Rattus norvegicus: one gene and its partners. The protein of the gene in region 4 purifies or fractionates together with the protein of the main gene of each other region. This does not show direct contact. Links are inferred from orthologs where the notes say so. Each region holds a gene or a part of one and is shown on either strand. Other genes may lie near its edges.

The links. The genes of interacting proteins can lie anywhere in the genome.
Region 1: the proteins of Prkar2b (region 4) and Cdk5rap2 purify together in Homo sapiens (affinity purification with mass spectrometry; 3 studies listed by BioGRID and IntAct, counting the BioPlex papers as one, with this or other methods). This does not show direct contact. The link is inferred for Rattus norvegicus from reciprocal best matches to the Homo sapiens genes PRKAR2B and CDK5RAP2.
Region 2: the proteins of Prkar2b (region 4) and Akap11 purify together in Homo sapiens (affinity purification with mass spectrometry; 3 studies listed by BioGRID and IntAct, counting the BioPlex papers as one, with this or other methods). This does not show direct contact. The link is inferred for Rattus norvegicus from reciprocal best matches to the Homo sapiens genes PRKAR2B and AKAP11.
Region 3: the proteins of Prkar2b (region 4) and Akap1 purify together in Homo sapiens (affinity purification with mass spectrometry; 3 studies listed by BioGRID and IntAct, counting the BioPlex papers as one, with this or other methods). This does not show direct contact. The link is inferred for Rattus norvegicus from reciprocal best matches to the Homo sapiens genes PRKAR2B and AKAP1.

Annotation. Positions count from the first base shown.
Region 1 is NC_086023.1:88,965,898-88,969,397, forward strand, and holds part of Cdk5rap2 (CDK5 regulatory subunit-associated protein 2), read right to left. Parts: intron 3,264-3,500; coding exon 3,196-3,263; intron 729-3,195; coding exon 661-728; intron 1-660. UniProt on the Homo sapiens protein: Potential regulator of CDK5 activity via its interaction with CDK5R1. Negative regulator of centriole disengagement (licensing) which maintains centriole engagement and cohesion. Involved in regulation of mitotic spindle orientation.
Region 2 is NC_086033.1:60,323,838-60,327,335, forward strand, and holds part of Akap11 (A-kinase anchor protein 11), read right to left. Parts: coding exon 3,396-3,498; intron 626-3,395; coding exon 485-625; 3' UTR 1-484. UniProt on the Homo sapiens protein: Binds to type II regulatory subunits of protein kinase A and anchors/targets them.
Region 3 is NC_086028.1:74,127,367-74,130,866, reverse strand, and holds part of Akap1 (A-kinase anchor protein 1, mitochondrial), read left to right. Parts: intron 1-1,651; coding exon 1,652-1,785; intron 1,786-3,171; coding exon 3,172-3,298; intron 3,299-3,500.
Region 4 is NC_086024.1:54,301,412-54,304,911, forward strand, and holds part of Prkar2b (cAMP-dependent protein kinase type II-beta regulatory subunit), read right to left. Parts: intron 3,169-3,500; coding exon 3,015-3,168; intron 1-3,014. UniProt on the Homo sapiens protein: Regulatory subunit of the cAMP-dependent protein kinases involved in cAMP signaling in cells. Type II regulatory chains mediate membrane association by binding to anchoring proteins, including the MAP2 kinase.

The DNA.
Region 1 (3,500 bases), on a different chromosome or scaffold from region 4:
AATTAAGAAAAATCTCAAAAGAATAATCATTTTCAGACAGGCGATGGTGGCTCACACCTTTAATCCCAGCACTTAAGAGGCAAAAGCAGGCAGATCTCCAAGTTTGAGGCCAGTCTAATCAACAGAGCGTGTTCCAGGACAGCCAGGGATACACAGAGAAAGCTTGCCTCAAAAAACAAACCAACCAACAAAAATATTCATTTCTAAAAAGTGAATTTGAATCCCACTTCTGTCTTTTACGTATTTAGTATCTGACCATAAATCAGTCTCCCCTACTTTGACAACCCCTTTGTAAAATGGGGCCAATATAAAGTACCTCAGAGTTGCAGCCAGGACCAATGAGGGCTTATGAATCCTGTGTCTATGATATTGTCAGCTCTATTTCACCACACAATAGAGCAACCCTCTCATCTACAATACAGCAGAAACAAGCCAATTACCAGGCAGAACCTACCAAAACGTGTATGAAACAACTTGTGTGTGCATGTAAAAGCCTCACAGAAAACACCCTTGGGCCATCAAGCCCCACAATATGGCATCCCTTTGCCTCTGACATTACTCAAACAGTTCTCAAGAAACACCTCTCTCCCAAGCCTGGCTACATGGTGGGAGCTGACATGACCTTTTAGAAAGGGATAATGAGTTGGTGTCTTCACTTACGTTTTCAAAGTCCTTCATGTTCCGGGCTCTGGTGGGAGAGACCTTTTCTTCTGACATGATTGGGAGCACTATAGAAAGATTAAACACACAAAGGAAATCATCAAACAAGCAGGCTGTATGGCATTCCTGCTGGGGCTGAGAGCCCAGAAGAGAGTCAGAGTAGCCTTGTGGGCAACTTCCTGCTTGCTGGTCTTTACTGATGTGAGTTCAAAGAATGCTCCAAGTTAAATTATTCTCAATATTGACAAAGTATTTACATTGGCTCTGATGTAACCACATATGTCAAGGGATAAACCCAAAACTTACATGGGACATGTGACAAAGCATGTCATTCCTCCTCACACGTCAGTAACTGAGGCAGCCTGACTGACTTGACAGCAGAGTTAGCAAACGCTTTCATAAAACACCAATGACTATTCCAGGCTTTGTAGGCCACACGCACAGCCGAAAATCCGTCATGTCTCTACAACATCTACTGCCACACGAGGACAACAGCCTCATAAAGTGAATCATAAACACAGAGCCTATGTTCCAAGAAAAGTTTGTTCTTACAAAAGCAGGCAATGGTGGGAAACTCCAACCCTGCTGACCACAGGCCTTGCTGGGACCCAGTCTCTGCAGAGCTTCTTTAATTCATTAAACATTTACCACACACCTGCCCTGCCCTGCACTGAGCACCAGTCTGCACTTTGGGAAACAATAGTGAAGGGGACAGTGCACCTGCACCAGCTTCCCAGGCAAGTGGGCAAAGCAGAAGAAAACAAATGTCATGATGCTGGTTAGTGTGTATCAAGTGACTGAACATTCACTCTCTGACAAAGCTGCACTGAGAAGCTGCTTCCTGCCAAGACTTTCTGGGTCTACCTACACCAAGAAACAAATAGATCTATTCTAGAGGAAGGAAAGAAACAAAACAACTGGGTGATCATGTGCTAGGCTAAAAGGTGATTTGGGATGGAGAAAAGTAAAGCAGGAGGGCTGGTCTTGCAGGCTCGGCTAACTGATGCACTGCTGTTTGGAGGACTGAAAGCAATGTGAACAGATTAAGGCTCCCTCTGGCTGCCTTTCTGAGAACAGACACTGAGGAGTTCAGGAGAGGAACAATGGGAACAGCTGCAATGACACTGGGATAACCCAGGCCAAAACCAGGCCCTGGTCTTTGGCCGGGATGGGAAGAGTACAGATGGGTGAGAACATGTTTGCTTCTGTATACTTGCATAGATGTTGTCAAGGTTTGTATATGCTCAGTCGAGGGAATGGCACTATTAGAATGTGTGGCCCTGTTGGAGTAGGTGTGTCATAGGCGTGGGCTAAGACCCTCACTCTAGCTGCCTGGAAGTCAGCCTTCAGATGAAGATGCAGAACTCTCAGCTCCTCCTGTACCATGCCTGCCTGGATGCTGCCATGATGATACTGGACTGAACCTCTGAACCTGTAAGCCAGCCCCAATTAAATGTTGTCCTTTATAAGACTTTCCTTAGTCATGGTCTCTGTTCACAGCAGTAAAACCCTAAGACAGGGGCTAAAAGGAATAAGAAAAGTGAATATATATAATGCTCAGAGGAGAGAGGATGAAGTAACCAGGGAGAGGCAAAGAAGGTGGTGTGCTTTGAGCTGAGTTCTCAACTCAGCAGGCAGCTGCAGGCAGAAGAGAAGGCCCCAGGCACAGGCCAACTGGGAGCAGAGAGAGTGTGCAGAGCCCTGTACGTCTGGCTGAGGAGCACAGAGGTTTTCTGTCCTCAGTCGGTGCTCAGTCACCTGTGTCAGGGACTTTCATCCCGTCCTTCCCCTACCTCAGTTCAGTGCCAAGTCTCGGCTCCAGTGACCAGTCTCTTGGGAAATGCTCACCTGACTCCCTTACTCTCCCATTCCTCTCACAGCACCTAACTCTTCTCTGTTCTAACCTGCATCAATGGATTTATCAGAGAAACTTCTCGTCTGTCTGTTCTCCGTCTGAAGGCACTGGCATTCCATGTTGAATCCCAATGCTTAACCAGAGTCTGGCAAGAAGTGCAAGTACAACGTGTGCTGAATTAAGGGTAGGCCTCAGAACTTTCTATTCACTGGACACTTTGTTTCAAGGAAAACTTACCAGGTCCCAGAGGAAAACCTGGGGATGGCCTATTAAGTAATAGTGTTTCCTAGAAATAAACCTTCTCATTCTGTCTGTCTTCCAAAGCTTCTGTTTGTTTGTATCTCATAATTTTAGAGAAGAGAAAAAAAGCACAAGTGAAAGTATCTCAAAGATAATTCAACAAGGCAAACTATCAGCACTCCCCACTTACTTCGGATAGCATGTACTTCTTTCAGAATGAAAATGATGAAGAATGCAAAACCCAGAGTGCAATCTCCCACACTCCAGTTTAAACATGAAGAAGGTTGAGAGCCAATTAAGACACAACGTGTACAAGATGCTGAGTGCCCACTGGGTGTCAGGCCAGGTAGGCCCTAGGCCCCAGGACAATATACTGTGTCAGGTCACAGATGCTCATGGTCTCAGCCTGCTCCCCTTTACTTCTGGGCATGTACACTTACCTCCATTTCCCAAGCCAGTAGTGTCACTGATGACATCCAGATCACTTGGTAGAACAGGGTGAAGGCCACTAGGAAAGAACACAGTGGGATGAAAGTTGAACTAGCACTTGAACAAAAGGGCCCTGTAGGGCAGTCTGAACCTCATGGAACAGTATTGGGCTGTGGCTAAGAAGGACTAAGGCACTGAGCTGCCCAGGAGACAGGAAGAGTTGAAATTAGGCTTTGGAGCTCTAGCTTTAGAACTGCCTTCCAGCTCTCACAGCTGAGAGACATTCATGGGGGACAGTCATTTCGCTGTTCACTCT
Region 2 (3,498 bases), on a different chromosome or scaffold from region 4:
CTCAGTTTTCTTTCTTCATGTCAGATGACTTATCATTAGACACCACTTGTTTTCAAAGGAACCAAGTGATCACGTGGGCCAGGCCAGCCGCCTCAGCCCTGTTTGCAGCAGCAGCAGCAGCAGCAGCAGCAGCAGCAGCAGCAGCAGCAGCAGCAGCAGCAGCAGCACTATGTGAATCCAAACAAATGCTGTCAGACAATGAATGCCCCAGCCTCGGGTGAGGATAGATCGTCCTTCACAGAATATTATCTCCAGGTCATAACACATACACATATACAGAAGAATAAGTAAAGAGAATATCTTGACAAAGATTACAAAAGTATGAACTATATACAGTGTAATGACAGAAAGCACTTAAAAAGCTTACTTTCCTCTCAATTCAATTAAAATGTTAATATTCTGTATTTGAATTTTATCCTACATGTAAATCATCAACTTTTTTACTTCCTAAAACAAGCACTAAAGTACACTGCCCTGCGGTGTGCTAGGCATTTTCTAAAAGCCAATCAAACAGCGACGTGCACGTGTCCTCGCTTGAGGCTTTGGCCACCACTTCGTAGTATTTCAGCACAGCCTGCAGGACATCGCCCACTTTCCATCCTCTCTCCTGTAACTGCTTTGAAAGCTAAGAAAGAAGGATTAACAGAAACATTAATATACATTAACAAAAAACAATCTGAGGCAACAAAGTTTTTATTTTTATCTTCAGACAAAACTGGGAATCCTGCAGTTTACCATGAAATTTTCTTTTCCAGTTATGCCATCTCCTCCCAACCACCAGCCCTTTGCCCAAATTGAAACAAGTCTCCACAGAATGACACTTCAGGATTGCCGGAAACAGAACGCAAGCCTTGGCAGTGGACAGTCTGCATGGGAATGCAGAGTAACTGTGTACAGGAAAATTCTTCACCTAACTAAATACATCTGCCACAACCTCAATTAGGAACATAAAATAATAACAACAATGTCAAGGTTAATAAAAGGATGGAGATTTTCTTTCCAAGCATATAGTATGGTTTATATTCTGGAAAACACTTCAGCCTCAACAGAAGCATGGCTTTCTAAGTTAAGAAATGTGATGTCTGAACAAAGAAGCAAGCAAAAGAATGAACAGGGATTAGGCAAACTCTACCACTGCAAAACAGAACCTGACCTTACTTTCCTGTTTATTCAACTATGTAAGAATTCTTAAGTTTTAAAAGGCCTGTAAAATAAATTCTGAAAAACTATTTTACTGGAAATGTGCTTTTCTTTAAACAGTTTTGAGATACAATTCACAGTCCATGGGTTTTAGTACATCACTGAACTGAAGACAAGTCCACACAGTCAATACTGGATGCTCTCTCCTCATACCAGGAGAAAAGCCGTCTGTATCAGAAGCCCCTCTCCATCCTCTATAGCACCTTGTAAAGCGCTCATCTACTTGGGGTCTCATAGCTGTGCCTACTTAGAGGTATGTCATAGAAATGGAACTGTGAACTCTTGTGTGTGTGTTTGGCTTAGCATAGTTATCTTGAAGTAAAGCAAGACTCAGTGCCTTACTACTTTCTACTAACCAACAAAGCTCCTTCTCCATTCATTAGCTGATAAGACAGATGGGAGACTGCTCACTGTTCAAGACAGGGTCTTACTATGACCAGAACTTGCTTAATTTAGATCAGGGTGACCTCAACATACAGTAATCCTCCTGCCTTTGCTTCTGGTGTACTGGAAATTATAGACCTATACCACAAGCCTAACAAATGTTACAAATGTTACTTACCTACTATAAGTAATGCTGCCACAGACATTTCTGAGGTGGTTTTTGTGTACACACATGCTTTTGTGTTCCTCGAGTGCACACAAGCAGTGAAATGCTGGGTAACATGCTAATGTTGTACTTGGCATTCTGGGGAACTGTTAGGTGTTTTTCCACCACAGCTTCACCATTTTAGATTCTCACTGAGAACTGTAAGAAGAATTCAGGGTACCATGTCCTCCCACGCTTGCTGTTACCACCTGGACAGTCACCCTACTGCAATGTAGTGATTTTGATTTGCATTTTCCTAACGGCTAGTAAAGCTGAATACCCCTTCATGTTTTATTTTCCAAAGATAGGCAATAATAACACTAACGTCCATTGGCATTCTTTGTATGAAGAATACAAAATTATAAACATTTCTTCTCATATGTGAACTGTCTTCTCCCTTTGTTGACAATGTCTTTCTCTTTTGTTACCTAAAATGTTTATATCTTTTTTGACATACAATTGTATGTCATCTTCTGTTTATCCTCATGGTAATACTGTTTATTCTATTTAATCATGAAAATGTTGAATTTTAATATATGATCCAGAAAGACAAAGTATTTCTATTATTCTTACTACTATCAAACATAAGCTGTACTTGTCTTGACTGTTTCATACATCCCCAATAGCCTTGTGGAGTCCTAGCTAGATAGTCTCTGAGAGTCACTTCAGATGAGCCAATGTTAACATAATAAGACCTTGCCATCCACAACTGAGCATTGTACTTGACTCAATCAGGCAAAGATCCCTGGGCGAGGTTACATGACGACAAGGCCTCCTCCTCTAACCACCTGTCAGCCCCATGTAGCCATGGTTTATCTTAAGCCACACTTCCACTTGATATTTCATTTCTTGAGTATTTCTTCCCAGACTATTTTCTCTCCTACAAACAGAAGTCTCAAGCTAATAAACTCCGTGTCGGAGCAGTCACATCCTTCACTGACATCTTCCAACAATAGTGTTTTAAGTTTTGAACCAGAAAATAAGAGTACCTTGGGTTATCCTTTCCTGTCCTTTTTTTGATTAATCTATATTGTTTAGTCACTGGACTGTTTTGTACTACAGCAAGGTTATAATTTTTTATATGGAAAACTGAGGAAGAACACTCTTAAAACTAAAACCTGAAAATCCCTACTAACAGCATGCTTGGTATATCTAAACAAAAGTATCTAATCTCGTATTGGTTTTTCATTACACAAGCCTTCTATTTACATAAAGATGAGAAAGACCTAATTAATTAGGTACAATTATGAATCAGAGAAATAGAATAGCTAGATCTTTCCTCAAGAATTCATTAGCTGCTTATTACTGACATCTAACTTCTAGGGTTAGGATGTTAGACCAAGTCCTTGCTCTTTACAGTATTGTAATTAATCCTCACAAACCTGTACAGTAAATTCTATGTGCCTCTAATCCCACATGCAACTAAGGAAACTAACTCATCTGCCCACGGTGAGTTACCTACCCAAGTGTCAAACCAGAACCCGACTGTAAGACTCCTACATATTAATATTCTGCAGTCAACAAGCATTTTGCTAAACCGACAAAGGAGTTAGGATTATTACATGGCATTGTTTCCTCACAACCACTCTAGAAGGGAGGTACTTACTAAGACAAACTCCTTCTTTGCAGAGTCCTGAAAATAAAGTTCTCTAACTTCCGCCTCCGAGGCAATGAGCCACTGAAGAATGACCCTGAGCTGAGGGTCCACC
Region 3 (3,500 bases), on a different chromosome or scaffold from region 4:
AAAACATTTTAAGAATAAAGGAGTCTGATGCCCATTGTAATAAATGAGCCCTCAGCCTGTGGCAGCTCTGGATGGATTGTGGTAGCTGTGCAGATGCCTGAGGCTTATGAGCATAGCTTTAGAGAAGAGACCATAATCAGTGGATGGGAAGGCAGGGTAGCCCATCAGTCATAGCCAGGGAGTTGTAACTGCTGAGCTCTCAGTGGGTGCAAGCAGCACTGGTGTTTTCAGGTTGGCTTTAGCACCGCTGTATGTGCTTCCCTTGAGGTTGAAGTTAAGGGAGCTGGTACGGGGGGACGGGATGAGGGAGCTGGAAAGTCAATGAATGCAGCCTGCTAAAGGCTTGGTATGGTTCTGAGTCACTCTTGGGAGCCACTGGCATGCACATATTGGCTAGTCTACTTCTCTTGGACAGAGGTTAGGGGCTTTGTGGTAGTAAAACCTTCACCAGCTCATTCTACCTCAAGATGGCTGCCCAAGGTGGGGTTTCTTGGGTGGGGTTCTCTGCCGTAAACCTAGTGTTGAGGGAGGTCCCTCAAAGGGAGATCGCTTTGGAGGTCTCTTCCTTGACTGGGAACAGAGAGTACCATAGTCTTTTATATCCAGATGTGGATTGCTTGGAAAAGAATTATGTCCTGAGTTGGGAGAAACCAGGTGGAAAATAGCCTAATTAGTTGCTTACAGGAGTGATTTATTTCAGGCCATTGAGTTTGGTATTTCAGTCAGGACCGGATCTCCTAACTTGCGCTGAATGGTCCTTGGTGCTTATTTGGTCCCCTCTTCCTCCTCCTCCTCCCCCTCTTCCTCTTCCTCTACCTCTTCCTCCTCCTCCTCCCCTTCCTCTTCTTCCTCTCCTCCTCTTCCTCCTCCTCCCCCCTCCTCCTCCTCTTGTTCTTGTCCCCTCCCCCTCCCCTCTTCCTTTTTCTTCTCTCTTCTTCTTCTTCCTTCTTTGCAATGGTCCTGGGGAAGAGTGGAATGGCCTGTGTTGGTTCCAGAGTCACATTCTCCACTGTTCTCTTGGTTTGGTGTTTGGTTTCTCTCACTGTTTGGGCTGTTTGGGCCACCCCATATTCAGAGCCAGTTCCAGAGGGGAAGGGAGGAGGCCCACCTGGCTTTGTCCTGAGAATGGGACCCTCAGAAGGCTTTCCTACTGTGATTGCCCAAGTACCCCAGAACACCCCCTCCCCCCAAGCCTGGGCCTTGGAGACTAGAGATCCTTGGTCTGAGGGCCTGGGACATTTGGAAAGGGATCGAGGTGATCGTGACAGGAAGGTCAAGGCCTGCTCCTGGAACTGCAGATCTGTGAGTCATCTTGTTGGCTCCCCTCCCCGATATACCCTGTATAAGCCCCTCCCTGGGTATAGAGAGTGCCTCTTCCTAGCTTACCACGTGTGTGTCTGCCCAGCAGCTGTGGCGAGGCACGGCTGCCAAAGAAGCAGGCAGGACTGTTCAGTGACAGGCTAAAATTAGGTGCATGGGTACCCTAAGCCTCCTTTCATTGGGTTTCCTGAGCCTTTTAGTCTGTGGTATCTGCCAAGCTTGCAGAGGGGTGTCTGTGTGCAGGGCCTCCCAGTATTATAAATTTGGGAAGCTGTGATAGTTACTGTGAGCTGGTGTCTGTGTGTGTATATATGTCGTTCCTCCCCTGCAGGTTCTGACGGGAACAGTATGGATTCAGTGGATAGCTGTTGTGGGCTTACGAAACCTGATAGCCCCCAGACTGTCCAGGCAGGCTCCAACCCTAAGAAGGTTGACCTCATCATCTGGGAGATCGAGGTGCCAAAGGTAAGGGCAGTGACTTTCCTTTAGGCTGGATTCTGTGGGAGCTCAAAATTTTTCAATGCCAGGGTTAAAGGATGTCAGCAAATTACATTAGATGACCAGGCTGGGAAGCTGCAGACTGTCTTTCCTCCCTCCCCTGTTTTGCTGGGTCCCCCAGGCTCCTCTGTGTGGGCTGGGGCTTAGGTCTTCTCTGTATACTAGCAAATGTCAGTCAGAGGAGTGAACGCCAGAGTCTCCCTGCTCTGCACTGTGAGGTGGACTCGATAACTGGGCAGAGTGTCAGCTGCTGTAGAGTACAGAAAGCCTGAGGCAGAAGCAAAGGCAGGCAGGCAGGCCAACCCCGAGCGGCTGTGTTCCCTCTCACCTCACACCCTGTGATTGTTAAACAAGCCAAGATTGTGGTGTCTTAACTAATACTTCTAAATTTTTAGCAACTTAATTTTCCTGTGCTAGTCTTTAAAAACATTGTTTTAACTGCATTGTTCATCGTAGGAATGCGAGGTGCTTCACCAGTCCCCAGCGCCTAAGTAGTTTCTAGCCCCTTGCTGTTAGAACTTAACCGCTTACTAGTGTTTGTCACTGGGGTTCAAAAGTAATTGGCAGACTGCTTAATCCCCAGGGCACTTGGCTCCAAGCTGAGTCTGAACTTTGGGTCAAGACTCCTAGGCTGACCCCGGGCTGCTGGCTCCCGTGGTAGTTTCTTTCCCTAGTGACCTTGTTATCAATCCTGCCCTCGGTGGTCACAGAGGGCATAGTGAGGCAGGCTCTGGGTGAGTAGGGACCATGTCCCTTGCCACCCTCCAGGGCTGGGGTCATTAGGAATTGTTGCAGGGCTTGCCTTACACTATGCTTAAGTCTGGCGTCTTCTGTTTGCCTGGAGTTCTGGTGCACTGGGCACTTGTATGTACTTGCTCTTCTTTAGTGGTGGGGTGGGAGTCTTGAGTGTTCTCATGCTTTCGTTGTCCAACCAGCTCTTTTGTCTGTGGCCCCTGGTGGACTTGGAGTGGCAGGGATGTTCAGAATGAGAGTCAGCCCTTAGAGCAGTGGATTATTAAGAGTGCATGCATGTGTAGGAGGGGTACTGTAATATTCCTGGTCTGGGACATACTGTTAGAATGAGATGCTGAGTCCTGGGCCAGGCTGTCCCCTTCAGCTGCTTAGCAGCTGTGTGGGCTTGTGTGGGTTCCAGAGCATGTCCCAGCTTGTTTCTCTTCATGTGGAAGATGATAAAGTTGTCTATCCGTAGGTACATAGTGAGCATAAGTGCTTAGAACAGTTCTGAAAAATACATGCTGACAGAAACGAATGGTGTGAGCTTGACTAAGCCTGGGTCCTTGGGCAGCGAGGAGTTGGTTTCCTGTCATCCTTACCTCTCTCTTTCCCTGGAAGCATTTAGTTGGTCGACTGATTGGCAAGCAGGGACGGTACGTGAGTTTTCTGAAGCAGACGTCTGGTGCCAAGATCTACATCTCCACCCTGCCTTACACACAGAACATCCAGATCTGCCACATAGAAGGTCAGTGGCGGTGGTGCCCTGTGCTTGGCTCCCTCGCCTGAATTCAACACAAGGCAGTAGCTTCCTGGTTGCAGCTGTCCATTTGGAAGTTTAGCTTTTAAATAGAAACTGTGGGTTTCTAGGTAGAGGGCATGCTGGGTGTCTTCCTACAGACTCCTCCGGTTCGGGTGCTTGTGGGAGACTGCCCCTCTGCACCATGTCT
Region 4 (3,500 bases):
TGTCTAGTGAAATACATCTAAAAGTATCCTGTGTGACTGTCATATACAGTCAGATTTGGGAAGCAGGGACATTTTAAAGATAGACCGTTGTCATTGTTGTTGTTGTTGTTGTTAAAACAGAGAATTCGTGAAATAGTTCAGTCACTTAGAAGTAAATCATGAACTGTGTATCTCAGGATGAAATGGTCCACCATATCACAACCCACCCTGACCCAACAAATTCAGGAAGCCCAATTTCAAACACTTTCTTCCCAGTTACAATGGCCTTTCTGCATCACTGTAGTGGCCATGTCTCCAGCTAATCTCTAGGGCTAAGAGCTGCAGGATGCTATTTCCGGAGTGAGGCTCTAGGATGAGGACTCTTCTCTGCCAACTGCTTCTCTTTACAACAGCACTTACAACCACTGGGCTGCAGGCTGTGGACCCTCACATTTCTGCTCTGCCTCGACTTCCCCTAGAAGGGACTGGCTATGCGAATTGCTCTTAAAAAGCTAGTTTCTAATATAATGAAAACACATGTTCACATTATAATTTTAAAAATATTGCATGTTTGCATGCACCAGAAACTGTTTATAAATGTCACTAACATGTATACAGCACCAAAAGAATCTCTGGAATTTTTCTTAGGAGCTTAAGAATTATGCAGACAAAAACTCCAAGCCCTTTGTACCTTGGTTACCATTAGCATCAGGGTTGAAAGTTCCATGCTTGGGGACTGGGGGCGAAGGGGGGTGGATCTGAAAATGTATCCTGGATCAAGGATGCTTGAGGATACCTTGTTCCCGTCTGGCACCATGACTCTGACTGGCAACTCCAGTGGGACTACCACATCTTAGGTTACACTTTCTGTAATAGGCAGGTCACGGTGGACACAAGTTAACCCCCACGAGCCCCCCCACACACTGTGAGTCCTCCCTGCACACAGAGGTCTGCTCTGCTGCAGCTGTCCTCTGTTGGTTTTAAGTCATCCTTAACATCCTAGGCGATGTGTTTCTTTCTACATGAAAGACTCTCCATTTTTTTTTATCCTATAACTGACTTATTTAATAGGTATACAATGACTGCGTGGCTCCAATAAAAAGAAAATTTAAGTATCCTGTTTTTTTCTTTCCAGTGAGATGTTTTATGAGTCCAAGGCTGAGATGAATGCTGTGTACATACATTCTGTAACACAGTAACCCTCTGAAACGGGACAGTTACAACCTCTTGTACAAAGAGCTGAGGAGAACCCTAACACCTGCATGTCAAGAACACGAGACGTTTTGTGTCCCAAACAATCCTCTGTGTGGCCTGGGGTGAAGTGTGACACCAGGCAGTTCGGACACCTCCTGGGAGCTGATTCCAAGCAAGTCCAGGCTCACCTTAGATCACAGATGTGGAGTCTGCGGGGTGGTGAGTGGGTTCCCAAGCTTACCAGAGACGGAGCCCCACCTTAAAGCCATCGTCAGTTGTTAGTACTTAAGCCCTGCACTGTTACCTTGTGGAAGAGTCCACACAGCTTCTCTAGCTCCTCAGCCAAATGTGTCTGTGAACCAACACTTAACAGAATTTCTACCGTTAAGACATTTATTTATAGAGACAGACTGAGAATCTCTTGTCTGAAATACTTGAGACCAGAAGTGTTTCAGACTTTAGAGACCATCCCCCGCCCCCAACACTCCACCATCCAGTCTCCCCCACGCCTCCCCCATGCCTCCCCCACTCCCGACTGCCCAGATTCTGAAGAATCCTAACACGGTAGCATGGAAGCATGTTTGAGGTTCATATATATCTCATATACCTGGCTAAAGGTAAAGTTCAGGAGCGTAATGCCTCCTGCAGTTGACTGGCCTGTAATATTAAGTGAGGTATAGAGTTTTACAGTTGTGGAATCATGTTGGCACTCAAAAAGCATTTCAAGCTTTGAGTTTCCGGATTAGGACTGCTCAGTCCATCCTACACCCACGTCCCACCCAAAGAGACTGGTTAGCTTTGTGTACAATTGAGGCAAGATTTATTTTCCAGTATCCGAGATGAAAAGAATGGGTGTTTTACTCAGATTGCCCATGAGCAGAGAGACCACCGAGAGAACTGTTCTGCTGCTGTTGTTTGTGCTGCTTGCTGTTTTCCCATGCCTTTTCAAAGCGCAGCACACATCAGGACCACATGAAAGGTGTCTGCCAGTATAGGACTGCTGAACCCCCTTTCCAGAGTCCTGGGGGCCTGGGATGTTCCTAACAAGTTCCCAGTTGTGACTTTCAGTCTGAAAACCACTGACTTACAGACTATAGGACTTACCTCAGAGATCTAGTTAAGAAAAAGGCTGTGTGTGTGTGTGTGTGTGTGTGTGTGTGTGTGTGTTACAGTATTCATGCTTGTTGGTTGAAGGTATGTACATGCATGTGATCGGAGGCTCATGCACAAATGCACATATGAAATATACTTATAGGAGCCAGACACTGATGTCAGATGTCTCTCCCTCCTGGGTTGCTCTCCACTTCTGAGACAAAGTCTCTTACTGAAAATAAAGTTCACTGACTTGGCCAGACTGGTTAGCCCATGAGCTTTGGGATCTGTGTGTGTCTGCACCTGCTTCCCCCATCGATACTGCAGTTACGGGCACGGGCCACTGTGCTCAACTTTTTACACTGGTTCTGGGGATCCAAACGCAGACCCTCATTGGCGTCCAGCAGGCACCTTACTGACTGAGCCATCTCTCCAAGCTGCTGTGGCTTGTGGATTTTAAGCATGGATAAGAGAGAGGCAATTAGGATCGGATGTCATTCCCAAGGGCCAGTATATTCAAGCTCCTGACTTGGGGAGAGACAGGACATAAATCTTTGGTTCAGCATAGACTAATGGTGTGGCAAGTAGCAGAGGCTTAACAAGTGCCAATGACTCGTGATCACAAATAAAACTACCAATTAAAATTAAAATACAGTATCGATGCTATCTTTCAACAGTAGTTGAAAATATCTACTGTCATGATATTTTCAAAACTAATATCATTTGGGTCAAGCAAATATTTTACTCACCAAACCCCACAGAGCACCAGGAGAGGTAGCAGTGATTGTAGCTGCTCTGGGTGTATTGTACATTAAGGCCAGTTCTCCAAAACTCCCACGATTGTCATAGTTACCAACGCATCTTCCAACGCCATCACATTTTACATAAATATCAAATGTTCCTCTGTTGGAGATACACAAATCCACATGGAAATCAGAGACACTGTGACCCGGGTAGCATCTAATTACAGTGCAGCCGTGCTTCAGAGAAGAGCCCTGTGCAACACAATCATGTTGCCCCCCATCCCCCTCCCCCGCCTGTCCACTGATAACAGCATGTGCTCCTCTGTTCCACACCTGTGCAGAAGGCCATCAGCTACACTAGGGACAAGGACAGGGAAAATGGACCTAAACAAACAAAGTTAAAATCAGTGATGGAGTGTGTACGGAAAGGCATCTACGGAACGTACGCCAAACACTAGCGGGACTTATCTCAGACAGTAAGAACCGTGAAGT